3 linked regions of the Drosophila melanogaster genome follow. The protein of the gene in region 3 interacts with the protein of the main gene of each other region in a biochemical or structural test. Each region holds a gene or a part of one and is shown on either strand. Other genes may lie near its edges.

Region 1 (9,855 bases), on a different chromosome or scaffold from region 3:
GAAGAGAGGATAATAAAGTCATTGGGTACACCGCATAACTAAAGTGCTGTAATGGCAAGCAAAAAGTAGAAAAAATATTAAATATTAAAAATTATTTTGAACCATTTTTATATTACTGCTTTAACACTGAATTTATTATTTAGACGATGTGATTATTGATTTGTTAATAAATTATATATATACATTTAAAAATTATATAAATTGTTATAAATTATATAGATAAATATATACATATATCTACATATGTATATTTATGAAGACAACTCAAAGAATTTTTTAAAACCACATATGTATGTACATGTCTTATAATACTTATTTAATTGTGGAAAACATATGTACATGCTTCAATACACTAAATAATACTAATAATACTAAATAGATATGAATACATATGTTTCATTACGGACCTACGCACAATCCGTTATTTTTTGCAAATTATGAAGATGTGCAAAGTTGTTTGAAATTATTTACAATTTACATATATACATTTATATATATAAGTTTGGATGCGAAAATGTACGTACATATGTATGTAATTGAGCATATGTGTATGTATTTATTTTTATGATAATACTTAGAGATATGTATGTATTTATGTTCATATGTATAACAAAATTTCTGGTTTTGTAGTTTCCAAGAATCGACAAAACGTTTTTTATAAAAAGGAATGGGACCACCAAACATACATACATACCTATATATCTATGTATATTTATGTATGGGTGCATATACACGCTTAAAGAAGCGTACAGACGTACCTGCAAATACGATTATCTTGTGCGGATATTTATACACACATATACATACATTCATAAAGGGTCTGGAAAATCACACAAATGTACGTTAAGCAAACATACAGATTTGTTTGTATGTGTAAGCTGTAGAAGCACAGCATGTGTCCGCTTCTTCATAGAGTTTTGAGTAAGACGTTAAATTACAAAAGGCCTGGCACATACACACACAAGTATGTATGTATATAGATGCATACAATATACATACAAACGCATGGGTATCAAAAGAATCTGACGATACCAGATTCAATCCTGCTGTGCACTTGCAGGAAAAATGTTATTTTTCTTGTTTTAATGCCGGACAAGGATACACCATACACATCTACATATGTATGTATGTACAGAGTTGTTTTATAGTTAGGAAATTCATTGCCAAGACTAGTCAACGGTGGTTGTAAAATATAAATTTTTGCAGATACAGGTACAACGGCGTTAAGCATAACTTTAATAAATAAATTTCTTCGTATAGACATAAATATATGAATGAATGAACATATATATGAATATGAACATATAAATACAAATAAATACATATAATACAAATAATACAAATAAATGTATATGTACGTGTTCGTCAATGGACGTATCAAAAAGTATTTATGTATGTAAATATAAGCCCTGTAAATCGTAGCATGAGTTAATATTAATTGAGCTGCATAATATAATGTGAGCTGCAATTTCTTTTCTAATCTCTTACATATGTACATAGCTTTATAGTTCTTTGCTTAAAACGTTTCGAAAGATTTTTATTTTTATTTACATATGTAAATATACATATGTATATAAAACCGTTCAAAGGCATTCGAAGAGCATATGTACATACCTATATTGTAATAATGTTCTAAATAACATTTTTTTTACATACTTAAATTAAAAACAGAATTTTTTTTTAAAGAAAGGATGTGGCTTTCTTAATGTTCCTTATTATTATTGAAATAAACTGGGTATACAAACTTTTTGAATCTTTTATTTTATATTATAACCACTACGAGTACACGGGCGAGAAGGCATTAAAGTATAGTAACATAATATAAAATATACTATGGTATTTATACAAAAAATTTTGTCATAACAAATATTTGTTCGGTATAAAATATATGTACATATATACATACGATGCAAAGTATATAACGGCCACAAACTGCCGAAGACTGTCACACCCTTTTAAAAGTGACTTTTAAAAGTGATGTACCAAAAAAAAGTCATACCCACTTCGAACGATCACAAATTACAAAACCCTTGGAGGTTTGCAAAATACCTCTTTTTGAGATTAAATATATTATCAGTTTATTTCTTCAAAAACACCAAAAATTATCAGTATAACTTCATCACCTACCCATTAATATAAAACTTAACTAGTTAAAATCACCTTTAAAGACGGGGTTAAAAGACAGATGCCACCAAAAAGTACATATGAATATTCTTGGACAGCCATATTCACTGAATATTAATGGCATAATGAAAATAATTATGCTCTCCACTTTATTCGATAAATTTTACTAAATTTGACGACTAATTATGTAGCTTTATCAAAACTGTGGCTTGCCAAAGCTATCTTGTACTAGGCACAATTATATTTAATAGTTCAAGTCGCTTTTTTTTTTAATTACACGCGTTATGAACAAACAAGTCTCCGAAATTGTATTTTTCTTTAAGTAGTGTGTCTTTACTATTAAATACCTTTTTCAATAAACACAGCCAAAATTACTAATGCAGTTCGGAAATAGACGCGTTTCCATCATTAAAGTAGAACATTGATTGACATGAATTTATAAACTTTGTTATATTGCTTTGTTTAAAACATTGTCGTTATACTCACCTAGATCGTCTTTAGACCGCAAAATGTCGTCTAGGTTAAAGCCGTATATCAGATAAAAGAAATTGATTGACCCTAGCCGAATCAATCTAGTTATGCCCGTACGTAATATCGTGTCGGAAATTATAAATCCAATTTGGTTCAAGACAGTGTTGTTGAATTGACCAATACAGAACTAAGGGGCGAAGTGTTGCAATCGAAATATTAATTTTCAAAATTTATAAACAAGTATTTAAGCGCTGCCAGAAGTAACATTTATTTAAGCATCAACATTGCTATAACCACATACCCAAGGGGTTGGAAACATTTTAATTGTTGGATTGTTAGATTACCGAGTCTACTACCTTATTAACATCATATACTATTTAATGAAACTAGTATACCCAATATACCCATAAGATAGGGGTAAAAATTCGATGCATTAAGTACACTGAGTGCAAAAATACTGTGTCGCAAATATTACACCAAACCAGTCTTGATAGGATAGAAAACAGTTATGTATGTTTTCATCAAGAATGCTATTCGCAAGGGCAAGGCTATAATAGATAAATACGACTACAAATACATGTTTGTATTTTAATATACTGGATATACTGGGTATAATGGGTACAAATATCAACGAGATAGCCAAAATCAAGATTGAATCGGGTGTACAAGCTACTGTAAGATTAATCTATATATATATATATATGTATGTGTGTATATGTATATAGAGATAGGCGTTGCCAATAACTTTTGCGTTTTTTGCTTAAAAATAATATTGTATCGCCGAGGACAAAAATTACCCACTGAGAGACACAAACTACTAGCGTAAAAATATCTATATTAACAGCACTGGCATCGAAAAGTATCTTAACTCACGTACGAGTATATGTATTGTGTGGCCATCTTCGATCTGCCCGCCTTCGCCGACTGTTCGTGATCCGTAGGTACACACAGACATTTAAATCACCAATGCACTTGTTACTGTATTGTATTTATGTTTGTGAACCTACACGTATCTATGTAGAATCTGTACAAGTATCTGTGTTTGGACAATGGCATGTGTGAGAGGAGATCCGAACTGCTCCATCTAAACTAACGAAGCATTGCAACAGCTAGTGTTAATGTCGCTCAGTCCACTCGTAAGAAACATAGGAATAAGACGCAGCATTCAAAAAATATTGACTTGTCTTACAAAACTGATTTTCATTGTTCGCTACTTAATATTTAGTGATAAATATATTACTTCGGGACTGATAATCTTATGAATATACGTGTGAGATTTGGCGATACCCTTCATTACTTAGGAAGCCGAGCGCATAAGCTCACACCATTATAATATTTAAGTGATATGAATATTAAATATTAAAATTTAAAACCAACTTTTTAATCAAAGAGTTTCCTTAAAATTGTTTAAGTTGCCGATCAAAAGTGGAAATTTATGCGTGCCGTTATTTGAAATACCAATCTTTTGAAAATGTTTACGCCGACGGTTAATATTATTTAAAAGGATAATTGAATTTATAAAACGACGTCATTCTTGTTGTGGACTAACTTTAATGAAATGGACGCCTACGCGTTACCTACATATTTTCCTCTTGCGTAAGTTTTTATTTGCATATTCGAGAAGTAAGCCTTACAATAGAAAAATATCTACATTTTTGTTTAAAACGAGGAATTTTAAGATTACAGTCCATGAAATGTTTAGAAATGTGTAAGTTAAATAATAACAATTAAATAATAATAATTAAATAATTAAAAAAATAAAAAATAACAATAATTATTGTTATTATTATTATAATAATTATATATAATTACATATAATTATATATATATTATATAATTATTGTTATTATTATTATAATAACAATAATAATAATAATAAAAATAATAATAATAATTTTAATAATTATAATAACTATGGTAACAATAAAAAAGAATAATAATAATAACGATTAACGGGTATAAAAATGTTTATTATTATTATAATTACTATTATTATAATTTTTATGATTAATCAATAAATAATAAACATTTTTATACCCGTTACTAGATTCGTTGAAATGAATGTAACAGGCAGAAGGAAGCGTCTTAGACCATATATAGTATATACATACATGTATATTCTTGATCAGGATCAATAGCCGAGTCGATCTTGCCATATCCGTCTGTCCGTATGAACGTCGAGATCTCAGGAACTATAAAAGCTAGAAGGTTTAGATTCAGCATACAGAGACAAAGACGCAAGTAGCCATGCCCACTCTAACGTCCACAAACAGCGCAAAACTATCACGCCCACACTTTTGAAAAATGTGTTGTTCTTTTCACATTCTGATTAGTCTTTTACATTTCTATCGATTTCTAAAAAAAAACTTTTTGCCAACGCCCTAAAACCGCCCAAAACTCCGACACCCACATTTGTAAAAAATTGTTGGGAATTTTTTTCATAAATTTATTAGTTTATTATTTATTATAAATTTAAGTTTATATCGATTTGCCGACAACATATTTTAATTTTTTTTCTCATTTTATCTTTTATCTATCGATATCCCAGAAAAATTGTGCAATTTCGCATTCACACTAGCTGAGTAACGGGTATCTGATAGTCGGGAAACTCGACTATAGCATTCTCTCTTTTTGAAATTGCGGACGTGCCCGTTTCTGCGGTTAAGAGCGAGCGTGGAAAAAATAATTTTTAAATATCGATAGAAGTCGTAATCTAATTTTGAATTTAAAACGCTGCATTCAAAGATATTGCTATGTTAACATCGAAGCTAGCCAAAAGAAAATTATGTTGGCGTTTACATAAAAATTATATAATAATAAATAGTAAATACATTAAAATACTTAAAAAAATTAGACTCTAACTTTATTGTTGGTTGATCGAGAAGTTACTTGAATCTGTATGTCTGAGATTAATAATCAAGAATTTTTTTATATATCAAATGAATCGGATTATAATAGCGGGGTTTCTTATAATCATGTATCTAATGTCTTTGCTTATGCTTGCCGGTTTGAGGGCGTTAGAGCGATACAAAAACTTTTTAGCGAATCGATAGAAATTTGCAAGACTTCATGAAAAACAAGAGAGACTGTTATAGTCAATTTTCCCGAATATCACAAACCCGTTACTCAGCTAGTGAAATGGAGAGTCCAAAATTTCATAATTTTTCTGGCATATCGATAGATATTGGGGAAAAAAATGAGAAAAATAAAAAAAATTACTGAAGTATGGGCGTTAGCATTTTGGGTGTTTTGTAATTGTTAGGAGGGGCCGAAGTGTTTTTGGCTTACCATAAACATTGACATCAAATTAAATAAAATCAAAACATTTTGCAAAAGTGTGGGCTTGGCAGTTTGGTCGGTTTGTGTTCGTTAAAGTAGGCGTGGAAACATCGGTTTGTATGGATGGGTATGCTTAATCTGAACCTTCTACCAAAGACACTAGAATAACAAGATGCGTAACGCCATACAATTTTTTGGCACACGATTTTTTCGCCGTGGCTCTAGAGGTGGCTCCAGGCTCTCTCGAATTTTTGTTAGAGAGCGAGAGAGCAGAGAGTGCTACAGCGAACAGCTCTTTTCATCGCATAAAGTGATAGCAGACAACTGTATGTGTGCACACGTATGCTCATGCATTGTAAATTTGACAAAATATGCCCTTCACCTTAGAAGTTCTTTGACTTTAAATCTATATTATTTTTGATCAATTGGCACCATGTGAAAAATTCTTGTTTTGCATTGCCTTAACGTTATTATTATATGAAAATAGATTAGAAAGAGCCAAATCTATGTACATATTATCACAAAAATAAATTTAAAAATGACTTTATATATTTAGAATATTTGTCATTAGAGTATTCGTCTTGCGGCGTGTAAAAATTAATTAGGCAATGATTGTTGAGTGCTTGTGTCCGCACTTCGTGCCTCAAGATATGACCAAAGCAAAGACACTAGAATAATTCTAGACTTTTGCAATAAACAGTTATCATATTCTTATGGAATTTATGAAATTCCAGTAGTTATAATAATTTCTATTGTACTTCCTTTAATTATTTACTATATTTATTAAGTCATTTAACATTAAAAGTGTTTCAAAAAAAAATATTTCGCTTTTAAAAAATTGTCAGATGAGAGACAAATTAGAATTAAACATAAATATATATGTGTAAACGGTAGCTAATTCGATCGGCGATTTTAACAAACAAATTTTAAAAGCTTTAATTAAGCGCGAATTTTAAAAAAATTATTTAATTTCATCATATTTCTAGGAAATTGGCAAAAACTACCCTAATATGTACAATGTAAATTCGTTTTTTCGATCAGAATTGATTTCGGCCCGAAAATAGTCTTCTAGCACAACACGCACACATATACGCGTTCTCGTCTCTTGTTTTTACTCACACAAGCAAGCAAATTCTATTTTTAGATTTCTTACGCTCTCAGCGTGAGCGAGCGGAAAGAGAGCAATTTTGGTCGTAGAATTTCTGTCGATTGCCAAACAAATTTTTTACATGACCAGTGCAACGCCCTAAAGCCGCCAAACCCGTCACGCCTACACTTTTAAACAATTTTTAAATTTTTTGTCATTATATTCCTTAATATCTATCGATATCTCAGAAAAATGATTAAATTCACATTCACACTGGTATTAACAACGGGTATCTGATAGTCGGGGAGCTCATCTACATCATTCTCTCTTGTTTTGTGCTGTTTTTGGGCTTTGGGTGTAGGAGCGTCCGGAAACAAACTTAGCAGTGTAGGCGTCACTAGAATCATGAATCATGATTCATCTGAACTTCTGGCATATATATATATATACAAGAGTTCCTTGGCTCTTGGACGGACTTACGATCATGGCTAGATCGACTGTTCAAGAATATATACTCTAAAAAGTCAAACGTTTCTTTCTCCCTAAGTAAAAATGATGATTACAAAAATGTAAACCCAAATACGAGATTTTTGGGTGATGATAGACGATTTATAGTACTTACGCACTTATAGATGATAAACAAAATTTAACAAAAAATTTATTTTATTTCCTATAGGTATTCTGAATTGCAGTTTTTAGCGTCCAGGAGAGCAGCTGCCGTCGCTGCAGCGGCTACTGTTTTACCAGGATCACCATGCATAAACCAACATCACCCAACTGACGTTTCAAGCTCGGTAACAGTGCCATCAATTATTCCAACGGGTGGAACATCAGATTCAATTAAAACTTCAATACAACCACAAATATGCAATGAAAACACCCTTCTTGGAAATGCTGGCCACCAGCACAATCATCAGCCTCAACATGTTCACAATATAAATGTTACTGGACAGCCACATGACTTTCACCCGGCCTATAGAATTCCCGGATACATGGAACAGTTGTATTCTCTTCAACGAACTAATTCAGCTTCATCTTTTCACGGTATTTAACTTCTTGTATTTGTAAAAAAGTAACCTTAAAAAGTATGGATTTTTGTTTGTTAGATCCCTATGTCAATTGTGCATCAGCATTCCATCTTGCCGGACTTGGTTTGGGATCAGCTGATTTTTTGGGCAGCCGAGGTTTGAGCTCTTTGGGTGAACTGCATAATGCTGCTGTGGCAGCAGCAGCAGCCGGATCTCTCGCAAGTACTGATTTTCACTTCAGTGTTGATGGAAACAGGCGGTTGGGTAGCCCTCGACCACCAGGAGGAAGTATACGTGCCAGCATAAGCCGCAAACGAGCACTTTCGTCATCGCCTTATTCCGATTCATTTGATATTAATTCAATGATTCGATTTTCGCCAAACTCTTTAGCCACAATTATGAACGGTTCTCGAGGAAGCAGCGCGGCTAGTGGTTCTTACGGTCATATTTCTGCTACCGCCCTTAATCCCATGTCTCATGTTCATTCAACCCGTCTGCAACAGATACAAGCTCATTTATTGCGTGCAAGTGCAGGTCTGTTAAATCCGATGACACCACAACAAGTTGCTGCATCTGGATTTTCTATAGGGCATATGCCAACCTCTGCTTCTTTGAGAGTGAATGACGTACATCCTAATCTAAGCGATTCACATATCCAGATAACAACATCCCCAACTGTTACAAAGGATGTAAGCCAGGTCCCAGCGGCAGCATTCTCGGTAATTGTTAATTAATTTAAAATATTAAAAATGATTATATTATATCGTTTATCTAGTTGAAGAACTTAGATGATGCAAGAGAGAAAAAGGGACCCTTTAAAGATGTTGTCCCCGAGCAGCCTTCATCGACATCTGGCGGCGTAGCACAAGTAGAAGCCGACAGTGCGTCTTCACAGTTGTCTGACCGTTGTTACAACAACGTGGTAAACAATATTACAGGCATTCCTGGTGACGTTAAAGTAAACAGCCGCTTGGATGAGTATATTAATTGCGGATCAATTTCGATTCCGTCAAATGAATATGATTGTGCTAATGCTGATACTACGGATATCAAGGATGAACCCGGAGATTTCATTGAAACAAATTGTCATTGGCGTAGCTGTCGCATTGAGTTCATTACGCAAGATGAACTTGTTAAACATATAAATAATGATCATATTCAAACAAACAAGAAAGCTTTTGTCTGTCGATGGGAAGATTGTACACGCGGTGAAAAACCATTTAAAGCGCAGTATATGCTTGTTGTGCATATGCGGCGTCATACCGGTGAAAAGCCACACAAATGCACGGTAAGATTAATAAATTATATAAAACAATTTATATGAATTCCATTTTAAATCATGTGTAAATTAGTTTGAAGGCTGCTTTAAGGCATATTCACGTTTGGAAAACCTGAAAACTCATTTACGGTCACACACAGGAGAAAAACCATACACTTGCGAGTATCCGGGATGTAGCAAAGCCTTTAGTAATGCTAGTGATCGCGCAAAGCATCAAAATCGAACACACAGTAATGAGGTAAGTCTTTCATCTATATAAAAGTAATATTTTTCATTTATAGCTATTTTTAGAAACCGTACATTTGTAAAGCACCTGGATGCACAAAACGTTACACCGACCCGAGCTCTTTGAGAAAACATGTAAAAACAGTCCATGGAGCTGAATTTTATGCAAATAAAAAACATAAGGGGTTGCCTCTAAATGACGCAAACTCTCGGTTACAACAAAACAACAGTCGGCATAATCTTCAAGAGCACAATATCGACTCAAGCCCTTGCAGTGAAGACTCACATTTGGGAAAAATGTTAGGCACGTCTAGTCCTAGCATTAAATCTGAATCAGATATAAGCTCATCAAACCATCACTT
Region 2 (12,194 bases), on a different chromosome or scaffold from region 3:
GACAGTCACGAGTCGCTGGGAAAATGTGTCCACCTCCTGTCCAAGTAAAGTTATTCCACATCCCATGTTTTCGTGCTTCTTACCTTCCCGCACTTGACAGCTCCTTCGGCATTGCGGTTCTCTTCATCCTGGTGTCCTGTCTGCTGCACCTCGTGGCTACGGCCTACTTCCTCTTTCTGGAACTGCTCAGCAAGCGGGATAACGGCTACCTGTGGGTGCAGATGCTCTGGATTTGCTTTCACTTCCTGCGACTGCTCATGGTGGTGGAGCCGTGCCACTTGGCTGCCCGAGAGTCCCGTAAAACGATCCAGATTGTTTGCGAAATCGAGCGGAAAGTGCACGAGCCCATTCTCGCGGAGGCAGTTAAGAAGTTTTGGCAGCAGTTACTCGTCGTAGATGCTGACTTCTCCGCCTGCGGATTGTGCCGCGTGAACCGCACCATTCTGACATCGGTAAGGATTTAGACTACACTTAAATAATATCCATGTATTATTCTAATGCTATCTGGTTGCAGTTTGCATCCGCCATAGCCACCTATCTCGTGATTCTCATTCAGTTTCAACGGACCAATGGCTAAAGTTATACAAAAAGTGGCTTGTTTTTTATTAACACTATTAACTAAACGGAGTTCTTGGATATTATTGATCTGTTAAAGTGTCTATGTGCTTGAATCAAGTTAGCAAACAATAAAAAGCAAACGGGTTATTTTTCTTAGAACTTGCTAAAATTCACACACTCTTATCCATGATCCATTCTCCATCATATTACAACTAGCCATACTCTGGGGGGACTTAGAAACCCTTCTGGTACTGCTTGGTCTCCAACCGCTGTTGCAACAACTCCAGCTGTCGTTTCGCCTCGCACTGGGGGAAGTTGTTCAAGTCATAATATTGGGGCGCCAGGCAGCACAACCATTCAGCTATAAATGTAAGAAATGCTTACAAAAATGACCCTGAAATGCGGAAGTTGCTACTCACGTTTGACATCTGTCACCGTGCGAATGTAGTTCTTTGTAGTCAGCACGAACTCATTGTAGATGACCCAATCGGGCTTGTGGTCGAGACAAGTCGACGGATGCAGCTGCACGTTCTGGTTGTCCTTGATGGTCAGATAGTAGCCAGTGCGCTCCAGGTGGGCCACCTGCATGAAGAAGCCCTGCACGAGGGCCTTTCGGATGTTTACATAGTAGTCCTTCGAGGTGAATTCAGTGCTCGTGCGCCGCAAGTTGAAGCGGTCCATGATTCTAGCCAGCTGCTGGCGCACGTTATCCGCACTCTTTAGCGAGCGGAAGTTTATGAAGTTCTCGTAGCACCAGTTTGGATCCTCACTGCCTGAAAGAAATAAAGAAATATGTCTTTATGTTTCCATTTCGAGTATAGGTTGGTTTAGTTTACTTACTCTGCTTAAAGGCGTGATAGACATTAAGCAACGTCAGGTGGTCTCCGTCAATGTGGGCGAATCGCATCTTGGCCTCATCGGCAGCTTTCTTCGCCTCGTTGGGGCGAACGAAGCATTGTGGAACTTTGGCACGTTTGAATTGGTTTAGTTTCGATTAAGCGCAAGTTCAAAACAATTTTTAACATAAACAAATAGATTGTGCTTTCATTTTGTCAGCTAGGCAATCTAGAGGCTTGATTCAAAGATTGATTGCATTTGTGAGTTGCAAGTGCGTTCGCGGAACATTAAAAGATAAAAACACTATTTATTCGGGCATATTTTGCACATCAATCCATTCAAATAATGGGCTTGGACTTTTAAACGCATGTGCAACTTTTCTTTTCGAGTTGAATGCAAAGAACAAATAAATTGAAAAACTTTTTCCTTTGCATTGTTGCTTAAGAAATTACATAAATCCCTTCAAGAATATAGAATATACTTCCCCGAAACCTCAGACTTTCAATTTATAACGTAGAAAGTATTCACGGCAGCCACTTTAACGGAAATAAATGAAAGTATGCATCGGCACAAATCGAAATTAGGTACAAGTCGTATTTACGTATTTGAAAAACGAAAAGTGACAGCCATGAAAGTATAAGTGCGACCCCCAACTTATCGAAGACAGTTTCTTAGATTTGTGTTTTATCTCACCCGACAACATGGCCGTTATGGAAAGTATTTCATTAGAGCAGTTATGTTGGCAGCTGGCAATCAGCATTTTGGCCAGCTGCGGATCCAATGGAAACTCGGACATAACGGCACCCAGGTCTGTAAGATTTCCGTCATCATCCAGGGCGGCCAGATAGTTGAGCAACTCCAGGGCACGCATCAAGGTCTCTGGAGCAGGGGGGTCCATAAAATCGAAATGCACCAGATCATCGATGCCCAACTTCTTGAGCTGCAGAACCACAGTGCCTGCTCAAAAATAAGAAACAAGATATTAGAAATCGAGTAATACTTCCAGGGGATCTAGGCATTACCCAAATTGGAGCGCAGAATTTCGGGGTAGGTGTTGTCCTGCATCTCGTTTTTAAACGCCTTTTCCGTGTACAGACGGAAACACTTGCCAGGACGCGTACGTCCAGCACGACCGGATCTCTGCTGCGCAGACGCTTTTGAAATGGGTGAGACGAGCAGACTCTCCACTCGAATGCGAGGATTGTACACCTTTTGCTTGGCGAAGCCTGGATCAATCACGAACACCACTCCGTCAATGGTCAGCGAGGTTTCGGCAATGTTGGTGGACACCACGACCTTGCGTCCAATTGCGCCATTAGCATTTGGCGGCGGGGCCGGTTCGAAGATGCGCTGCTGCAAATTGGGCGGCAGCGTCGAGTACAGGGGAATGCATTTCAGCTCTCCAATTTCTGAGCCCAAATTGTCGATCTCGCGCTTGATGCGCTTGCAAGCCTCCTCAATCTCCTCCTGGCCCGTGAGGAACATTAGGATATCACCTAGAGTAGCAAAATCAAGTTGGGGTTTAGTTTACAATGGAAAAAGCGAATGCGTCTTTTCCGGCATTGAATAGGATCATATTCAAAAGTCGTAAACACTTGAATGATTACAATACCATTAAAGCAAATACGAAGCATTTGCCGCCCTTCGGCACTCGGAAAGTTTATATTTTGCCTGGCACTTTTACATTGTAAACATATGATCGATAAATGCTTCTTAGAACAATGAACTAGCAAGCTATTAAATGAACTCCAAGCTAAACTCATTTACCAACTTACCCTCAATTTCCTCGCACATGTGTATCTGGATTACCGTGCGAATAGCAGCCTCTAGGTAATCTCTTTCTGGTTCGGGCGTGTAGAAGATCTCCACGGGATGTGTGCGACCGGGCACTTTCATGAGCGGTGCGTTGTCGAAATACTGCTGGAACTTGCCGGCGTCCAGTGTGGCGGACATGACCACCAGCTTAAGGTCGCTGCGCTGACGAATGACCTCCTTGAGCACGCCCATTAGAATGTCAGTGGCCAAGGTCCGCTCGTGAGCCTCGTCAAGCAGAATGACCTGGTACTGGTCCAGCATGGGATCAGACATGGCCTCGCGCAACAACATACCATCGGTCATGTACTTGAGCAGCGTCTTGGCCGTGGAGCAGTCCTCGAAACGGATGGAGTAGCCGACCTCTTCGCCCAGTTTTACGTCCATCTCCTCCGAAACGCGCTGGGCCACGGACATGGCGGCAACTCGACGTGGCTGTGTGCAGGAGACTCCCTTGCGCCCCTTGGATACTGCGAAGTCCACGCACCACTGCGGGATCTGGGTCGTCTTGCCGGAGCCAGTCTCGCCCACCAGCACAATACACTGGTGCAGGCTGAGCAGCCGCATAAAGTCCGCCTGGTACTCGAACACGGGCAGCGCAATGCGCTTCTTGTAGAGATTCTGGTACCGTTGTGAGTACGGCGTGTTGGTCAGCGGGTTCATCGTGGGCGGTTGCTTGTTGGGCACGAATCCGCCCAGGATTTGAGCCACTGTGCCGGCAGCGGCTGCCGCCGACGAGGAGGACGCCTCCGGGTCCCTGGTGAGAAAGGAGCGTTACATTACTGCCGTATGTTGGCCTCGGGTCACTTACTTCTTCGCCTTGCTGCCGTAGGTCTCCCCCACTTCGATTCGACGCTTGGACATGCTAATTTATGGTGATTACTGCACTTAATTCTCAAAACGAAGCGTTTAGCACAAAAAAAAACACGCGCTCAGTGAGACCTTTAGCATATACCGACCATGCTGATCGCAACTTTTAAAATACCAAAGTTTACTGTCTGTGTATACTATATAAGCCCATGGTTAGCGAAGATCACAACCAACAGCACGGCAGCAATTTGGCATTTAAAAAAAAACAGCAGTTCAAGCTTAAGTCTTTTGACGAGAATCTATCTATAGAATTCGGTTTTACTCACCAGTTTGAAGAATAGTTGTGAGCTCACAGTCTTAAAATTGACATTTGACAGCAATTTGATTGGAAACTGATTTTGATTTTTACAGTAACAAACTGTTACATGGATTCGGTATTTTCGGCTTGGGTTGGCGCTTTAGCGTCGGCCACACTATCACATTGTATCGATTCGGAGGGAGTTGAATTTTTGCACGTATTTGAAAGCGCAAAGATGCGAAACAAAGAGCAGGATATCGAATGAAAGAGCTCCTGCGAGACCAGGACTAGTTGCCTAACCACCATGGAAATACCCATTCAGGTAGCGGTGCGCATCTTCCCGCATAGAGAGCTCAAGGACTTGTTGAGGAGCTTCGGCCCCACAGAGCCCAAAAAGGATGCGCAGGCGGTGGATGAGGGGGCGGACTCCAAGGACTCCGAGGCTCAAGTTCCGGCGGCTGAGAAGGACAATCCGTCAATTTCAGAGACGGACCCAAACGGGAATGCTGAGCAGGACAGTGCGGCCGATTCGAAGACAATTCCAGATGCCAATGGCAACGACAGTGGTCAGAAGGATTACCCAGACTCCGCATATTGCGTTCAGGCTATTCCCATCAGCGCTTCGGCCCTGGGATTGCCCAGTGCCCTGCCAGGCGGAGATCCCATGGACAGCATTGCAGCTGGACTGATACAAGTCGGTCCCCACACGGTTCCGGTCACCCACGCCCTGCCCAGCAGCAGCTCCCAGGAGCAAGTGTACCACCAGACGGTCTTTCCGCTCATCACCCTGTTCCTGGAAGGTTTCGACGCATCTGTAGTCACCTATGGCCAGAGGGGCCAGGGCAAAAGCTACACACTCTACGGAAACGTCCAGGACCCTACTCTGACGGATTCCACCGAAGGAGTCGTCCAACTTTGTGTCCGTGACATTTTCTCACACATATCGTTGCACCCAGGTGAGTTTACTAAAAGGATCTTATAAGCATAGTTATCCATTTCCATTTTCACTTTAAGAACGCACCTATGCCATCAACGTGGGATTCGTGGAAATTTGCGGAGGTGATGTCTGCGACTTGTTGGGCATGGGAAACATACACTGCACCAACGTAGATGCCGTCTTCCACTGGTTGCAGGTGGGTCTGTCGGCCCGCCAATCGTTGCCGGCGCACACCCTGTTCACGCTTACCCTGGAGCAGCAGTGGGTGTCCAAGGAGGGGCTGTTGCAGCACCGCTTGTCCACGGCCAGTTTCTCGGATCTCTGCGGCACAGAGAGATGTGGAGACCAGCCACCGGGACGTCCTCTCGATGCTGGCCTGTGTATGCTGGAGCAGGTGATCAGTACTCTCACAGATCCAGGCCTCATGTACGGGGTTAATGGCAACATTCCGTACGGTCAGACCACGCTCACCACTCTCCTGAAGGACTCGTTCGGCGGACGGGCTCAGACGCTCGTGATCCTGTGCGTGTCACCGCTGGAAGAGCACTTGCCCGAAACTCTTGGCAACCTGCAGTTCGCCTTTAAGGTGCAGTGCGTACGTAATTTTGTAATTATGAACACCTACTCCGACGACAACACGATGATCGTTCAGCCGGCTGAGCCTGTTCCCGAATCCAATTCCTCTGCTGGACCCTTGTCGCAGGCGGGACCAGGGGACAACTTTGGCCTACAATTCGCAGCAAGCCAATGGTCCAAACTAGTTACCAACGCCGAGGGGCTATTTTCCAAGTAAGTGTACACATTATTTCCGATGTGGGCCTTTTGACGACAAAAGAAATTTATAGGCTGATAGACTCCAAGCTAATTACTGAAGTGGAGAAGGAGCAGATCGAGGAGTGGCTCTTCCTCAAGCAGGAGTGCGAGGAGTGTCTCAGCTCAACAGAGGCTATGCGTCAGCAAAAACAGTTGGTTCCCATTCTGGAGGCCGAGGAGCCCGAGGACGTGAATTCTGAAGCAGCCAATTCGGAGTCGCCAAACTCCGACAACGAAAACGACACAGACAATGAGTCGCATCGGCCCGATCTGGACGACAAGATAGAAAGTCTAATGGAAGAGTTTCGCGACAAAACAGACGCTCTTATACTTGAAAAACACGCTGAATATCTATCCAAGCATCCGAAGGCGGTTATGCAAAGCCAAGACCGCGAGATTGAGGCACAGCCGCCAGAAGAAAATGGTGATGATCGAAAAGTCAGCATTGGCAGTAAGTCTTTGCCTTGAATAACATTTTTTTATACAGTAACATGTTGATTCCTTGCTTTAATAGGTCGCAGGAGAAGTGTTCAGCCAGGTGCTAGCTTAAGTACTGCTGAGCTTGCCATGCTTAATCGGGTAGCTTCCCAGCAGCCGCCTCCGCCCATCGATCCTGAGTCGGTCGTCGATCCTCTGGAAAGTTCTTCGGGCGAAGGAATCCGTCAGGCGGCTCTCGCTGCCGCCGCCGCCACTGCTCCTATTGAACAGCTGCAGAAAAAATTGCGCAAACTGGTCGCTGAGATCGAGGGCAAGCAACGACAGTTACGGGAAATCGAAGAGACAATCCAGGTAAAACAAAATATAATCGCCGAATTGGTCAAGAACAGCGATACACGCAGCCATGCAAAGCAAAGATTTCACAAGAAACGTGCCAAACTTGAGGCCGAGTGCGACAAGGCCAAGAAGCAGTTAGGTAAGGCGCTAGTTCAAGGCCGGGATCAGTCGGAGATTGAGCGATGGACCACGATAATCGGACATCTCGAGCGTCGACTAGAAGACCTCAGCTCAATGAAGCATATTGCGGGTGAGAGCGGACAGAAGGTGAAGAAGCTACAGCAATCGGTGGGCGAGTCGCGAAAACAGGCCGATGATTTACAGAAAAAGCTTCGAAAGGAGTGCAAGCTGCGCTGCCAGATGGAGGCGGAGCTGGCCAAACTACGAGAATCCAGGGAGACTGGCAAAGAGCTAGTGAAGGCGCAAGGTTCTCCCGAGCAACAAGGCCGCCAGTTAAAGGCAGTACAGGCTAGGATTACGCACCTTAATCACATTTTACGCGAGAAGTCGGATAACCTGGAGGAGCAGCCGGGACCAGAACAGCAGGAGACCTTGCGTCATGAGATCCGCAACTTGCGCGGAACTCGTGACTTGTTGTTGGAAGAACGCTGTCATTTGGACCGCAAACTTAAGCGGGACAAGGTGCTGACGCAAAAGGAGGAGCGCAAGCTGCTCGAGTGCGATGAGGCCATCGAGGCCATAGATGCGGCCATAGAATTCAAGAACGAGATGATCACGGGCCACCGCTCCATCGACACGAGCGACCGAATTCAGCGGGAGAAGGGAGAACAGATGCTGATGGCACGCCTAAATCGTCTCTCAACGGAGGAGATGCGAACACTTCTGTACAAATACTTCACGAAGGTTATCGATTTGCGCGACTCTTCACGAAAGCTGGAGCTGCAGCTGGTGCAGTTGGAGCGTGAGCGGGATGCCTGGGAGTGGAAGGAGCGTGTTCTGTCCAATGCCGTGCGCCAGGCTAGACTGGAAGGCGAACGGAATGCGGTGCTGCTGCAGCGCCAGCACGAAATGAAACTCACTTTGATGCTGCGTCACATGGCGGAGGAAACGTCGGCCAGTTCGGCCAGCTACGGAGAACGAGCTTTGGCCCCTGCCTGTGTCGCCCCGCCGGTGCAGGCCAGTAGTGATTTCGACTACGATCATTTCTACAAAGGTGGCGGCAATCCAAGCAAGGCACTGATCAAAGCGCCAAAGCCGATGCCCACCGGCTCGGCGCTAGACAAATACAAGGACAAAGAGCAACGCAGCGGACGCAACATCTTTGCCAAGTTCCATGTGCTCACCAGATATGCGTCAGCTGCCGCAGCCGGTTCCTCAGGGTCCACGGCCGAGGAATCCACGGCCCTGATTGAGTCAACCACCACGGCCACGGCAACCACTACGTCGACAACCACCACTGGAGCCGTAGGAAAAGTGAAGGACAAGGCCCTGGTCAGCTTCAGGCCGGAGCAGCTGAAGCGTCTGATGCCAGCTCCGACGGCCACGAAAGTGACGCGTCAGAAGAACAAGATAATTATCCAGGACGCAAGTCGTCGAAACTAAATACGAATTTAACCATTTCCAGGACGATATTATAAGGTTAAGCCAAATAGCCATATACAATTAATAGCCATGAGCTGAAATCCAGCCACTTTAATAATTAAGGCGATAATATAAAAAAATGCTTAAAAATGTATAACAGATTACTCCCATATACATGCATACATTTTAATCAATAGTCCGACATATATACCAGCTTGAATTTATTAGTTTACTGCTTGTCGTTTAACTTATTAAAGTGGCTGGAGTTCGATATCTTTTTAAGTGTGAAGCAATAGCTCAGATCCTGGTAACAAGAACTGAACAAGTTTCGTCCACAGTCATGACACAAATAGACTACAACACATGGTTCTCATTCCGGCTCTTTAGCTGGGGAGCATTTATTTTAGAAACCCCCACACGTACATACACCTAGCATATGAAAGTAACTATCCTCATGAGATTCAACCGTAAAGACTTGACCTGCTACTTAAGATACTCGCAAGACAAACCGTACACAAAACTCGCTCAAAGTGTTGACCTAAGTCTCCGCATTGTTTAACTTGTACATAACAATAATTATTAGGTAACCACTTAATTTTAATTGATTTTGTTAGTTTTAGCTTAGTTGTAAACACTATTGTGTCTTCCCTCGAATTTTAATTGACCTTCGATACCAATTACAACATACGTACTCCATACCCAAGTGTTAACCTTTAATATTCTATCAAAAGCATTTACTCTGTACAACTTATAAATGCTTCAAATCGCAGTATTTGCGCTAATCCAATACTCATTTTGCATTAACTTAAAATTAAAATTCAATACTGTTTGGTTGTGTACAACGTATTTTTTATTGTCCATTGATATAGATGCAGTTTGCACTGTACTCCGAGTAACTTAAATTGATATTAATGTATGTATGTTCCCTCAATATCAGCGTGTGAAAAATTATAAACACATTTGTAAGCATACATATTCCGCCAAATCGCTCGGCATGGCTTTGTGTGGATATTGTTGGTTAAGCAAATAAATATATACAAACTAAACTAATCAATCAGTGTTTAATCAGTGTTTTATATTCAAAATAAAATAGTTATCGTCTTATAAAGATAATTAAGTTCTACATTTGCAGCTGAAATCCAAGCAAACACAGTCCACAAGGCAACAGGTGAGAAATGTCCCAGAAATTTCCCAAACAATCGCCCCTTCGGACACACACACACACAGAAAGCGCAAAGAGAGAGGATGAGAGGGAGAGAGAGAGAGCGCCGGTTTAAGCGTTGTATCTAAATCCGATGGCGAGTATCTGAGCATCCGATTCAGTCTTGTTTGGACCGTCGAGCGATCGAGAACCGGATTTCAGCGCTAGTCGGCGAATCGCGAGAGCGTGCGAGTATTTGTGTGTGCGTGTGAGCGTTTGTTTTGGGACACCGATACGGATACGGGTACGGATAGACGGATATACGGCAGCGGTACGCGATTAGCAATCCGCCAACCGGTTGCAGCGGTGCTAGTGCACCACCCTACAAAAAAGTGAATAATAGTATGCAAAGTATCTGAAAGATAGTCAAGAGCAGAGCAAAGTATCTGTGTTTGTGTGTGCCGTGCTTTTGTGCGGAGTCGCCACCCCCGTGGATTAGTGGCACCCTGCTGCAAATAGCCCACCACTCTCACAAGTGTGTGTGTGTGAGTGTTAACAATTAATCGCATTTAAAAAACAATTTGGCCAGCCGCAGTAACAATAACGGTAAGAAAAGTCGGCGGTACCGTTGGGAAATTTTCACCGTTGTCTGGCAACTTCTTTGTGCCCGTCGTGTATGTATAGGTTGGGTGCAGAAGTGTGCGTGAGTCCTGCCCACGCCCACCGAGTAGCGCTAGTCTGCGAAATCAACTGCAGGATGCTGTAGGTTGATATTTTATCGGTTAGATGATAATAGTCTTTGGTCTTCCTTATGATTTTTCGCCAGACGTTAAGTTTTTTCAATTTGGGAATGCAAAAACGGTTACTTTATGCACCGTATCACATCACACACACTTGCAAAAGGGTGTGAAAATGTACTGCCATGAGGGAGGAAATATGCATGTTCTACGACTCCCAAACAAGTTTCATACTAAATTTCCGAATGTCTTGTTTAGTACGTAGGGGAGTTTCTATATATTTCATGCTACTTTTTATTTATAAATCGAGTTTTAGAGGAAATAATTGCAGTCCCTGAATTTTCAGCGATTTTTTTTCGGCGCATGCGCCCTTGGAACCGCAGAAAAGCAACTCTGTGATTACCGTTGTATTCGCTTGTGCGTCCATTCGTGTGTGTCAGTCAGTGTGTGTGTGTGTGTGTGCAACCTGTGCCTCCTGCCGCCAGGTCCTTGGTCCTTTGTCGCCGTCAGGTAGTTTTCAGCTTTCCCTACTCAAAACGCTTCATTCTCAAGAACCTCTTAAAATTCTTCGCAGTTTCCATGTGGCACACATACGTCGCGATCCTTTCAGCGCACATGTGTGTGTGTGTGTGAGTCCTGATGTTAGTGTTGTTTCATCCCCTGCTTGTAAAATCACTGAAATCCCGTGCAGCTGCCTTCGTCCTTTCCTTGCTGGTGTGTCTGAAGTTTCCACTATTTGATTTTGCAAGTGTTGCACTACCCTCCTCCTCCGCTTCCTTCTGCGTCTGCTGGCGATATACTTTTTATTTTCCTGCTTCTTTTTCTGGTTTTTCGTCGGCTCGCCATCCTGTTGCTAGGCGGTTTTCCCCACCAGTTGGACCAGTGCCAATTTTCCATGTGACTCCCTGTTTTCAGAGCAATAAAATAGTCAGTGAATTACCTATACACCTATGAACTTGCAGTAATATTATTGAATAGTATTTTAGGCACTATTGATTTAATTTTTTTTAATTTCTGTTTACATTGATACTCCGCTTAATGTAAATTATTATACTTATTTTACAATAACTAATTATTTATTTACCCACATGAATTACTGGTGTCTCCCTTTAAATGTACTGAATAGATCCTGGACATTTTTTGAAATCGTTAATAAGCTTTTCTGAAAGTGCTCCACTCGTTGAGCGAAGTGCTCAATGAGTTTTGGCAACCAATAAAATCAATAAATAAATCCAATAGTGTGCCATTTTATTCACACACATTTCAGATAAGTTCTAAGTTGTTTTAGTGATGGTTACTCCACCCACTAACTAATTTATACACAGCACGCTGGTGGTTAAACAGATTTACTTTGGCCGCTCTCATCGATTTGATGAGAATGCACTCATCGGGTCGCTTGTGAAGGCAAATATTGATTTCCACTTGGGCAGCAACATGACACAGCGGAAAAGGTTAAAGTGAACAAAGGACCGAATAAATATTTCCTTTTGTTTCTACTGCCGCCGAGAGCACTTGAATCTCAATTAGGGCCGCAGTGCGGAAGCTCTGGGCGCGAATGGGTCACAGCAGCGTTTCTGGACAATGGATGTGTGTCCTCTGCCTCCGCCGACGACCCTGCACTGGGCCACTGCCCTCAGTGCCCACTGTGCCCCATCCGACCATTCCTGCGGCACCACCCTTCCTAAATTTATTGGCTCGTCACCCCAATTTAAAGTTACACATGCAGCCAGACGGGGCAACAAGAAGAATACGAAAGGCGAGCATGAGTAATATTAAAATGCTTTTGATTCGTTGATTTTACCACGCGATTGACCAAACGGATCCGCTCACCGAGGGTTGTATCTCTTTATGTAGGTACATTGTATATGGTATAGATGTATCCGCACATATGTTGCCTATACGGATGCCTGGATCCGTTGACTGATTACCAGATGT
Region 3 (10,747 bases):
GCAATAGCCACCTTCTCGTCGGCGTCCTCCATCACCTTGAAGTACTCGCCGCGCAGGCTGTGGAACTCCGTGTCCATCGACTCGTGCTGCAGTTCGTCGCGCTTGCACTGCTTGAAGAACATGTGGGCCTTCTTGTCCAGCGAGTCCATGTTGTCTGTGCACCGCAAGGAGCAGTTATTGGTTAGTGATCCGGCGAAAAGCAGAGATTCGGATTCTCTGGTTGCACTTACTCTGGACGGCGAGATCTAGTTCGCGCATCTCGGTAAAGCGGTCGCGCAGCTCCTGCGGCAGGTGCTCGATCATCTCCAGATAGTCTTCGAGGTAAAGCATGATGGCGATGCGAATGGGCCGCGGTGTAAACCCAAAATTTTAACTACTTTGTGTGTTTATTAATGAAAATTCGTGTATTGTTGCGGGTATGTGTGTGACCGGATGGCGAAACGAAGTTAATCCCAGATGCGGATGGTAGTGCTCGATAATATCGATATTTAAGCAATCGACTCGAAACCGCGATACAAACTCAGGGTGGATAGCTGCGACACAAACCCTGTAAGGTGAAATTCGAAATTTAAATAAATTGTATAAATGGAAATCATAATTAATGATATTATTTATTTACATATTATAAGCTGTATTGTATAAAACTAAAAATGTGAATATATTTCAAAACAAATATATACTCACATTTTTACTGTTCAAAAGTTGTGAACAATAAGGAGTAAGCATTTTAAAGATATAAACAAACAACAGATGCCCATAGGATTGTTTCAAATATATCATTTTATTTCACTTATTGCCTGGCAAATGCGTGTTTACCCGCTTGTTTTTGGGTCTGGGATCGTGGCTCCCGGATGCACATCGTCCACATGCAGCCACTTTCGTTGCCACACGCGTCTCATCGTCATATGTATACTACATGCGTAAATGTAAAAAGCTTAGCTTAAACTTAACGAAAGTATTTAGAGTTAAGGTCGCTCCGTTCGGCTAGATTAACTTATTCGAATGCGAGGGCGCAGGCGCAGGTGCGGGTGCGGGGAATGATCCAAACAAGGTTTGAACGCAGCGGCGCGGAAACAAGTCAAGCTGCTAAATGCATCCAGTTTACTATCTAGCGGAAGGGGCCTCCTTCTAATCGCCAATCTGCCATATCAAATCAGCTACTACGCGGGATCGGGATTTGGGATTGGGTGCGAGATGTGTTCGGGCATCCGAGGTTGGGGCAATACTAAACGTAATCATAATACACACACATCGTAAAATGCTAAATCCTAGTCACACAGCTCACACAGCTACGTACAACACAACACGATTCCAGCATTCCATCATCGCGCCGCCTCCGTGGACGGCCAGCCCTATATGGACATCTCGGGCATCTTGTTGTGCTTGAGGTTGATCTGGACGCTCTGCGAGAACATCTTGATAATGCCGTAGTGGTCGTTGGCGAACACTTTCAGGAAGCTGGGCACGTTCTTGTGGAGCAGCTCGTGGCAGAACTGTGGGTATTTTTGGTAGGCCGGCTGCTTGTCATCCCAAATGGCCAGCAGATCGCAATCGTCGCTGTTGTAGAAAGCAGGCAAAAGTACATATTAATGCGATAAGAATACAATATCTCAATTAAGCGTTCAAGTGCCCGTCTCGAGGATTTTGTCTGCGTCTACTCACCGCACTTCGTTGGTGCACTCGTCCAGCGATATGATCAAGTACTGGATCTTCAGCTGGGCGCACTGGTTGTAGATATCCGACGACTGCTGACGACTGTACACCGAGTACACGTGCTCCGTGCGCTCCCTTAAAAAAGATAAACAAAGGCGGAAGTTTCAGTACGTGCATGGCCAGGATATGGATGCCAATGAGAGCGGGACAGAGCAGGGGCATAGTCGATAGGCTATCTCGCTCAGATTGGGAGAACTTACGCTATCTGACGCATCTCCAGGTGCGCATGGTTGACTATGGGCCGTTTGGTGGTCAAGTGCACGGTGCCGATGATGTCCACGGGGCCGGCAAAGACCGCATCTCGCTCTGTGTTCAGCTTGATCCACTCGAGCATGCTGTCCAGGTCGTCACCGCTCTTGGAGTAGCGCGTGGGGAAGTACTCTTCGCGAATGTTCTATTTTTGAGAGGGCGACGAAATCACAACAATTCCCGTGAGCAATAGAGGCGGTATCCAACTTACCACCATGCCCGGATCGAACATGCTGAGCAGGAAGACGGCCAGCGAGACCGACCAGAAGATGTTGCGCTGGCGATGGTACCACAGTTTGGAGCAGACGGTGGGTGCGATGACGCAGCCCTGCGTGAAGCTGAGGAAGAAGAGCTTGCGCACGGCGAGTCCGATAAGGGTGAAGACTAGCATCTGCAGGAAGCTGTACACGTAGTGCATGTTGAGGATCTGTGCGTTGGCCGTGGGCACCACGGAGCTGCGTCTGGAGGAGCTGCGCTTCCTCTGTCGATGGCCACTCGAGTTTGAGCCGCAGCCGGCGGCGGTGGCAGAGTGTTCCTCCTCCTCCTCTTCATTGTCCGCGGACCTGGACGGCGGCGTTTCAGTGGGATCTGCTGCAGACTCGGTCTCCGTTTCGCCACTACCTGGCTCCTGATTCTTCTTCTTCGATTCCGATTCTGCTTCCGGATCCTTATCCTCCTCCTCAGTCGGCGTGCTGGCCCCGTCGGTGGCCGCTTCTTTGGTTTCCTGCGCCCGCTCCTTGCGCTGCTTGACGCTGTTGCGGTTAATTTGCGCTCGCAGCCGCTTGATATCCTGCATAAAGTCGTCGCGGGCGGGCGGCTGCTCCTTACGCAGGCTGGCCTGTGCGCGCTTGTAGCGCTCGTAGTCGTAGTCGCAGCTTTTGAGCAGGCGGAAGCACTTATACAGCTGTTTCTCCGTCTCCTTGCTAGACATGTCGCTCATGGAAACGAAGTGCTCCTCTATGAAGTCTTCCAGCACGTATTTGCGCGCTCTCTCGCGCTGCTCTTCGGTGAGGGCACTTACTGGGGCGCCGCTCTTGCGCCAGCGCCGGAAGAACATGGCCAGCATGACCACGCCGTACATGCAGTACGGCTTAACAATCATCGTCTTGACCAGCTGCCACAATTCTGACCAGGCGACGCGCGCGTACTGCGGATTGCAGGCGGAAAGGTGGGCGACAAAGCCGACATTGACCTGCAGAGCCCAGTGGGCACATATGTCGAAGAAGTGCTGCTGGTCGCCTTCCGTCACACTGACCACGCCAGCCCGATTGAAGAGCTCTATCAGCGTGGTCTGCACGCTGCTGGCGAGCAGCAGTGTGAGCATGAGGAACTTCAACGAGAATAAGTCGCCGTTCAGCAGATCCTGCGCGTGTCCCAGTCGCCGGCTGCGCACGTGACGCAACTGTCGCACCATTGTAATCAAAAATAGGAACAGCGAGATGCTCAGCTGCCAGGTGAGAAGCAGCTGGCTGTTGCCGTGCGACATTACAAAGGCGAGAGCGTGGCCCAGCAGGTGCGACAGCGAGTAGTCCAGCACGAAGGCGTTGACCAGAGCCGTGGGCAGCGCGCTCGCGTTCCAGGACGTCATCATGATCAGGATCTGGGTGGTGAAGATGAAGGTGGAGAACTGCCAGGAGAGTAGGGCGCAGGCGGTGAAAAGCGACATGGCGAAGATCTTCGAAGGGCAAAGATGTTACTGAGCTTAATGCAATAAAGCACACCTATTACCATGAACATGCGAGATGTGTGCCGCTGTCGGTGTATGATCCTTCCGATGCAGATACACAGATAAAACATCTGCAGGAAAATGAACGGAAAGGCGAAGTTCTCCCGCGCCAGCGGCCGCTCATAGATCTTGGCCACGAAGCTGTGGAACATCAGGTACGAGATTACGCCGTATATGCCACCGAAAATGTTCTCGCTGAGCAGCGTTCCGTACAGGTAGAGTACCAGCAGGGTTACCCCGCCCATCAGCCACACGAACTCCAGATAGAACTGCATCGGTTGCACCATTGGATTGAAGCCGGAGCGCACTACGTGAAAGAAGTACCTTTGGGGAGCGAAAGTGCATCTGCATTAGTGGACTTTTTGGGCATCACTCCTCTGGCAGTCACTTACGCCGTGACCAGCTCCGGCAGCACGTAGAATCGCTGCAGCACATTGACACTGTGCGGATACTCGATGTCCGTGACGTTCTTCAGCTGCTCGTAGCCGTGCCAAAAGTCCGGCCCTTCGGCCAGCTGCTTGTAGAAGGCATAGTACAGGGCATCCTCGCGCCGCAGAAGCGCCTCCCGCTCCAGCTGATTGAGCTGCTGGATGTTGGTGCGCGTCTCGAAGATCACGCGCACATGCTGCACGTATAGGAAGAAGAAGCCGCAGCCTGGGATGCGGATTGGAATTGGGAGTGTGGTCAATGGCAGTGGGAATCCCCAACTCAATTAGACTGCCGCCTGGAAGCGGAAGAGGCGTGGCAGAAGTGTCTGCCGGTTGGCGGAAACTCACCGATCAGCGCGTGCGACAGGATCACGTACAGGTTGGGCTCGCGCATCGTGCTGCGATTGTGGGTGTCGTCTCACTGGGTGGCTGTGTTCAAATTGGCAATCATTATTTATTTCACAACGATTATTCCTGGCTCCGCACAATAAAAACCAGCCAGCAATCAGCTGTTCTTCGGCCGTGCTTGTCTAGGGTGACCGTACCGAGTTGCTGTCAAAAGGGTCATTTGTGTTGGTTTGGTCACACTGAATTTTAGGTACATTACGATATATAGGTACATACCTATAATTAGTTATATTATCTACTGCACTTTTGGAATTTTTAATTATTTATATTGCATATCATTTATTGCACTTATTAAGTAAAAATTTGTACATTAAGAAATATATACATATAAATATTTATAATATATAATAATATATAAGTTAAAGTTCGTTCCAACTTTTATCACTTAATAAATGTTTATTCGCAGATAATACTAATACCTACTGCCACAGATAAAAGCGCAAACTAGTCTTGTATTTGTCTTGGATTGTATCATGATCTGGTCTATATAGATTTTTAGGTACAATTGCTGTCCAGCAAAAGCGTCATTTATCAGAAAAGGAACCCTGTATGAGCAATCTAGTATTTTCATATACCTACGTACCGAAGCCGAGTTCCCACCTCGGAGTCAACCTGCTACGGTCATACCGCACGCACTTCAGTGGTAATCACATCCCAATCCGCAGCAAAACAAAGAATAACCATGAACCGCTACGCGGTAAGCTCGATGGTGGGGCAAGGATCCTTCGGGTGCGTATACAAGGCGACACGCAAGGACGACAGCAAGGTGGTGGCCATCAAAGTGATCTCCAAGGTGAGTGGGGCGGGCCAGGTGATAAAGCAACAAGTCCATACAACTAGTTCACACCATATTCATGTTCTGCAGCGCGGAAGAGCCACGAAAGAGCTGAAGAATTTGCGCAGGGAGTGCGACATTCAGGCCCGGCTGAAGCATCCGCACGTCATCGAGATGATCGAGTCCTTCGAGTCGAAGACGGACCTTTTCGTGGTCACTGAGTTCGCGCTGATGGACCTGCACCGCTACCTGTCCTACAATGGAGCCATGGGCGAGGAGCCGGCACGTCGGGTGACCGGGCATCTGGTGTCCGCTCTGTACTACCTGCATTCAAACCGCATCCTCCACCGGGATCTCAAACCGCAAAACGTGCTGCTCGACAAGAACATGCACGCGAAACTCTGCGACTTTGGACTGGCCCGCAACATGACCCTGGGTACCCACGTGCTCACCTCGATCAAGGGAACGCCCCTCTACATGGCCCCGGAGCTGCTGGCGGAGCAGCCGTACGACCATCATGCGGACATGTGGTCACTGGGCTGCATAGCCTACGAAAGCATGGCCGGTCAGCCGCCCTTCTGTGCCAGCTCCATCCTGCATCTGGTGAAGATGATCAAGCACGAGGACGTCAAGTGGCCGAGCACGCTGACTAGCGAGTGCCGCTCCTTCCTACAGGGCCTGCTTGAGAAGGACCCCGGTCTGCGCATATCCTGGACGCAGCTGTTGTGTCACCCCTTCGTTGAGGGACGCATCTTTATCGCAGAAACGCAGGCGGAGGCGGCCAAGGAATCGCCTTTCACAAATCCCGAAGCCAAGGTTAAGTCGTCAAAACAGTCCGATCCGGAGGTAGGCGATCTGGACGAGGCCCTGGCCGCTTTGGACTTTGGCGAGTCGCGACAGGAAAACTTGACCACCTCCCGCGACAGCATAAACGCCATTGCTCCCAGCGATGTTGAGCATCTTGAGACCGATGTGGAGGACAATATGCAACGTGTGGTCGTTCCCTTCGCGGACTTGTCCTACAGGGATCTGTCTGGTGTTCGGGCAATGCCGATGGTACACCAGCCGGTGATCAACTCGCACACTTGCTTCGTCAGTGGCAACTCCAATATGATCCTCAATCATATGAACGACAACTTCGACTTTCAGGCTTCCTTGCGGGGCGGAGGCGTGGCCGCTAAGCCAATAGTCGCTCCAACCGTACGCCAGTCGCGCAGCAAGGATCTAGAGAAGCGTAAGCTTAGTCAGAATCTGGATAACTTCTCTGTTCGCTTGGGTCACAGCGTCGACCATGAGGCGCAACGCAAGGCCACGGAGATTGCTACACAGGAAAAGCATAACCAGGAAAACAAGCCTCCCGCTGAAGCAATTTCCTACGCAAATTCTCAGCCCCCGCAGCAACAGCCACAACAACTTAAACACTCAATGCATTCCACCAATGAGGAAAAGCTGAGCAGCGAGTAAGTGGCCACTGCGCCTCATAGAATTTCTTTTACTAACTTTCCCCTTTCAATAACAGCAACACTCCGCCGTGCCTGCTCCCGGGGTGGGATAGCTGCGATGAATCCCAAAGTCCGCCCATCGAGAACGATGAGTGGCTAGCCTTCTTGAACAGATCGGTGCAGGAGCTGCTTGACGGCGAACTGGACTCATTGAAACAGCACAACCTGGTGAGCATTATTGTGGCACCGCTGCGCAACTCCAAGGCCATTCCACGGGTACTCAAGAGTGTGGCCCAGTTGCTGTCGTTGCCCTTTGTGCTGGTGGATCCTGTTTTGATTGTTGACCTCGAGCTCATCCGCAACGTGTACGTGGACGTAAAACTGGTGCCCAATCTCATGTACGCCTGCAAGCTGCTCCTGTCGCACAAACAACTCTCGGACTCGGCTGCCTCCGCCCCACTCACCACGGGTTCGCTCAGTCGAACGTTGCGTAGCATTCCGGAGCTAACTGTCGAGGAGCTGGAGACGGCTTGCAGTCTGTACGAACTGGTCTGCCACTTGGTACACCTGCAGCAGCAGTTCCTAACGCAGTTCTGCGATGCGGTTGCCATTCTGGCAGCAAGCGATCTGTTCCTCAACTTCCTCACGCACGGTAAGATTACCCTTAGATGGTATGAGCTGACTCCTGTAAACTGTTAGCCCGTTCCCGTTCTCCCGTAGACTTCAGGCAATCGGATTCAGACGCCGCCTCTGTTCGCCTGGCTGGGTGCATGTTGGCCCTGATGGGCTGTGTGCTGCGCGAGCTGCCCGAAAACGCGGAGCTTGTAGAACGGATTGTCTTTAATCCGCGGCTAAACTTCGTCTCGCTCCTGCAGAGCCGACACCACCTGTTGCGGCAACGTTCCTGTCAGCTGCTGCGCCTGCTGGCCCGCTTCAGCCTGCGCGGCGTGCAGCGCATATGGAATGGAGAGCTGCGATTTGCGCTGCAACAACTCTCTGAGCACCACTCGTACCCGGCACTCCGTGGGGAGGCCGCCCAGACCCTCGACGAGATCAGTCACTTCACTTTTTTCGTCACCTAGCCGGCACTTTCTTTTATTGGCCTCAGGCGTTTTTATCCGAGCAGATCCTGAATGTTGCCCTGGAAGTAGTCGAGCAGTTCGTCGATGTAGTTCCCGAAGCGGTCGAAGTTGAGCAGGTAGTCCTCGCTGCAGTCCTGTTCGTACATCTCGTTTAGCTTGGACACATCCTTGTCGGAGAGGCCGCGTCTCTGGCCCAGCGAGGCGTACGGATCCTGGAAGCAAAGGACAGGAGTCAGAGAGTGTAGACGATGCAAGCTCCCCCAAGTCATTACAAACATCTCATCGCTTCAACTAAAACTGCTAAGGTGTAGTCAACCATTCAGCTAAAGAATTCTCATTTGATATAGTTCCAACTGGACAAGGAAGCAAAATGCTTCGTCTATTCCTAGCATAGTTGCACGTCATTGGACCATGTGTTAATATAGGAATTCCTAATCTGAATATGATCAAATCACTATCACTATCGAATTTAAATATTTTATGAGCCACGGTTTTTGGCATTCCTAATGGAATCTAAGTTAATTGATAGGTGTTTTTGAATGCACATATTCAAGTGTGGTTTGTGCAAAATAGATTGATAGCATTATAGTTTGTATATCGAAATATAACATTTAGGTGTAGTAATTGTTAAGATAAGCGAATTTACTGTATGTCCATACAATAGTCCATTAATTCGCAGTATTACTATTGAATGTTAAACTGAACTCCTTTACAGTGTAAGCGATTTAAAATAATACTCAATTACATGAATAACTGGTAACCATTTGGGTTGGCCTACTCACCAATGGCTCTATGGTGGCTTTCCCGTTCTTGCTGAAGGCCCGCGAGCTGTAGTGCATGACGCTCTGGTAGTCGTACTCCACCCCGAAGTTGGTGATGTGGGTGCGGGCGTACTTGTTGAAGTTGTGCGCGTGCCCGTCGAGGATGTTCTCCCAGTTGATCTTGACGTACTCATCCCGCTCCGTGGCGCTCTGCTGGTGGTAGAAGCCGAGCGCGTGCAGCAGCTCGTGCACCACCACGCCGTGTGTGACGCACTTGGGTGTGTTCAGGTTGAGCACCTGGCCACCCGAACGCCGGCCGACGCTCGACCAGCAGCCGGAGTAGTTGCCCTTGATGAGCAGCCAGTGCTTGTCGCCCTGTTCGTACGGCCGGAAACGTATGCAGGTGCGGTCGTGGTACTCCTTGAAGGCCTTCAGTATGACCATGGTCTGGTTGGCGTCTGTTTGGAAAGGGTGTTTTACTACTTTGGACTGCTTGCAGGCCTTAACTCACTGAAGTCTTGCGGGTCTATGTAGAAGGGCACGGCGGCCTCTGGCCAGGTGAGCCGCTCGTTCAGCAGCCCGTTCCTCAGCAGCTCGCGGTGCAGCATGATGTCGCCCTCGAAGAGGCCGCAATGCTCCCATATGTTCGTATCGCTGTCCTCCGTCCAGAAGTTGAAGGCAGGACCTGCAAGTGCCAATGGTTGAGTGCATCGACTACTAGCGTCTGATATGATGTTGGGTACCTACTGTTGTGCCGGCGCAGCATCTGCATATTGGCGCCCCACCTGGCAGCGGGCGGCACCGCGGGTCGTGCGCGAAGAAGCGCCTTTCGCGTGGCCGGGGTACTCGCCTCCAAGGTGGCGGACAGGGCCAAGGCCAGGGCAGACCAAAAACAAATCAGACCGGGAACGATGAGCGCACTTCTCGGCATTGTTGGGGTAAAAGAAACGCCGGCCATGTTGCGTCGACGCTTTTATATGGCACTGCGTAAAGGGGCGGGGCAATGACAACGGCAATGGCAGTTCCAATTGAAAGTACGAGTGAGTATTGAGTGACTGACTGACTGGGCGACTGAATGGCGGACGCCCACGCCGCTGGATTTCGGATTTATGCATAACTTAACTGACTTATTGGCTCTCTCTTTCGGCGCGCATTCAAATTCCCCCGCCTCGACTTTTACGGCTTTTGGTTCCAAATTTAACTGGGATATTGGGTTATCAGTGGCAACGGCGTGCGCATATGAAAATAGCACACTCTCTTTCCCAGTACCAGCGCCAGTGACAGTGCCAGTTCCAGTGCCAGTGCCAGTGCCAGTACCATTACCCAGTGGCGGTGCCTTCCTGTCTTCCTATCTCGAATCGATCTTCATTTCAATCTCGATCTCACGTCCGCACAGAAAGAGAGAAAAAGCGGCAGAGACACCATGGAAAGCCGGGAGGAGTTCTTTGACCCCCATCGATTGATGATGTTGATGGCCAATGACAGTTGGCATCTGTCGGTGGCAAAAGTGAACGCTGTCAGGTATCTGGTCATCTTCTCCCTTTCTCTGACCCAGACCCGGATGGCTTGGCTTATCCGTCAGTTGAGTGGGTCACTGCAGTGGCAGTGGCAGTGGCGCTGGCCGTGGCTCCAAGTGGGTCGCCGAGTGGGCACCCACAAGATCACCAGAACACGATTTCGTCAAGTTCAGATGTGGGACCAGGCTGCCAGGCAGCCAGGCAGCCCACCATCCATCCAGCCATTTTGGCCAATCTGTGAGCCACAATCTAGATCCAAAGCGGCTTTCTTGTGCAGCGCCAGCAATTACCAGCGGATGGCGATGGAGTGCCATACATTTCTTTCTAACTTGTTGCGGAACAGCCACTTACTACTCGCTGTTGCTAATGCTGCTGCGGCTGCACTTTCACTACGAAATTGCACCAAAATCTAAGCCACATCGCAATGGATTTTGAGAACATTTTGGTCATGGCAACTGGAAATGCGCCTGGCCAGCAGCATGTTTAGCGGATGCAGAAACTCCGGGCACAAGACTCCCAGCTTCATTCAACTACATCTCCGAATCCGAATCCGACTACCACTACGACTGCAGCATCAGGGGCAACGACAGCAAAACACATTTGACGTACTATCTGCGATGTACTTGATCTTTGTCGAAAACTTGAC

Evidence for each region.
Region 1: the proteins of fu (region 3) and ci form a complex in vitro, tested with the Drosophila melanogaster proteins (2 studies listed by BioGRID, with this or other methods).
Region 2: the proteins of fu (region 3) and cos form a complex in vitro, tested with the Drosophila melanogaster proteins (4 studies listed by BioGRID, with this or other methods).

Annotation. Positions count from the first base shown.
Region 1 is NC_004353.4:50,167-60,021, reverse strand, and holds the start of ci (cubitus interruptus), read left to right. Parts: upstream 1-3,690; 5' UTR 3,691-4,153; coding exon 4,154-4,191; intron 4,192-7,637; coding exon 7,638-8,005; intron 8,006-8,067; coding exon 8,068-8,708; intron 8,709-8,764; coding exon 8,765-9,277; intron 9,278-9,341; coding exon 9,342-9,506; intron 9,507-9,559; coding exon 9,560-9,855. UniProt on the Drosophila melanogaster protein: Has a dual function as a transcriptional activator and a repressor of the hedgehog (Hh) pathway. The full-length ci form (ciFL), acts as an activator (ciA) while ciR, its C-terminally truncated form, acts as a repressor. Involved in segment polarity.
Region 2 is NT_033778.4:7,379,405-7,391,598, reverse strand, and holds cos (costa), read left to right. Parts: upstream 1-4,483; 5' UTR 4,484-4,619; coding exon 4,620-5,271; intron 5,272-5,329; coding exon 5,330-6,041; intron 6,042-6,097; coding exon 6,098-6,516; intron 6,517-6,579; coding exon 6,580-8,402; 3' UTR 8,403-9,423; downstream 9,424-12,194. Other genes in the region: Gr43a (gustatory receptor 43a), read left to right, coding at 1-44, 101-452, 515-577; Dhx15 (DEAH-box helicase 15), read right to left, coding at 792-919, 978-1,331, 1,399-1,521, 2,089-2,352, 2,418-2,891, 3,171-3,964, 4,019-4,071. UniProt on the Drosophila melanogaster protein: Regulates cubitus interruptus (ci) processing by recruiting multiple kinases to promote its efficient phosphorylation.
Region 3 is NC_004354.4:18,652,634-18,663,380, forward strand, and holds fu (fused), read left to right. Parts: upstream 1-5,121; 5' UTR 5,122-5,206; coding exon 5,207-5,317; intron 5,318-5,389; coding exon 5,390-6,759; intron 6,760-6,818; coding exon 6,819-7,393; intron 7,394-7,461; coding exon 7,462-7,823; 3' UTR 7,824-7,855; coding exon of another isoform or gene 7,856-8,035; 3' UTR 8,036-8,571; downstream 8,572-10,747. Other genes in the region: Ing3 (inhibitor of growth family, member 3), read right to left, coding at 1-154, 231-330; CG6659 (uncharacterized protein), read right to left, coding at 1,353-1,557, 1,663-1,788, 1,914-2,107, 2,174-3,637, 3,691-4,012, 4,081-4,342, 4,465-4,510; CG6696 (uncharacterized protein), read right to left, coding at 7,856-8,035, 8,606-9,042, 9,096-9,269, 9,332-9,515. UniProt on the Drosophila melanogaster protein: Probable serine/threonine-protein kinase; maternally required for correct patterning in the posterior part of each embryonic metamere. May be involved in control of cell division during metamorphosis and ovarian development. May interact with costal-2.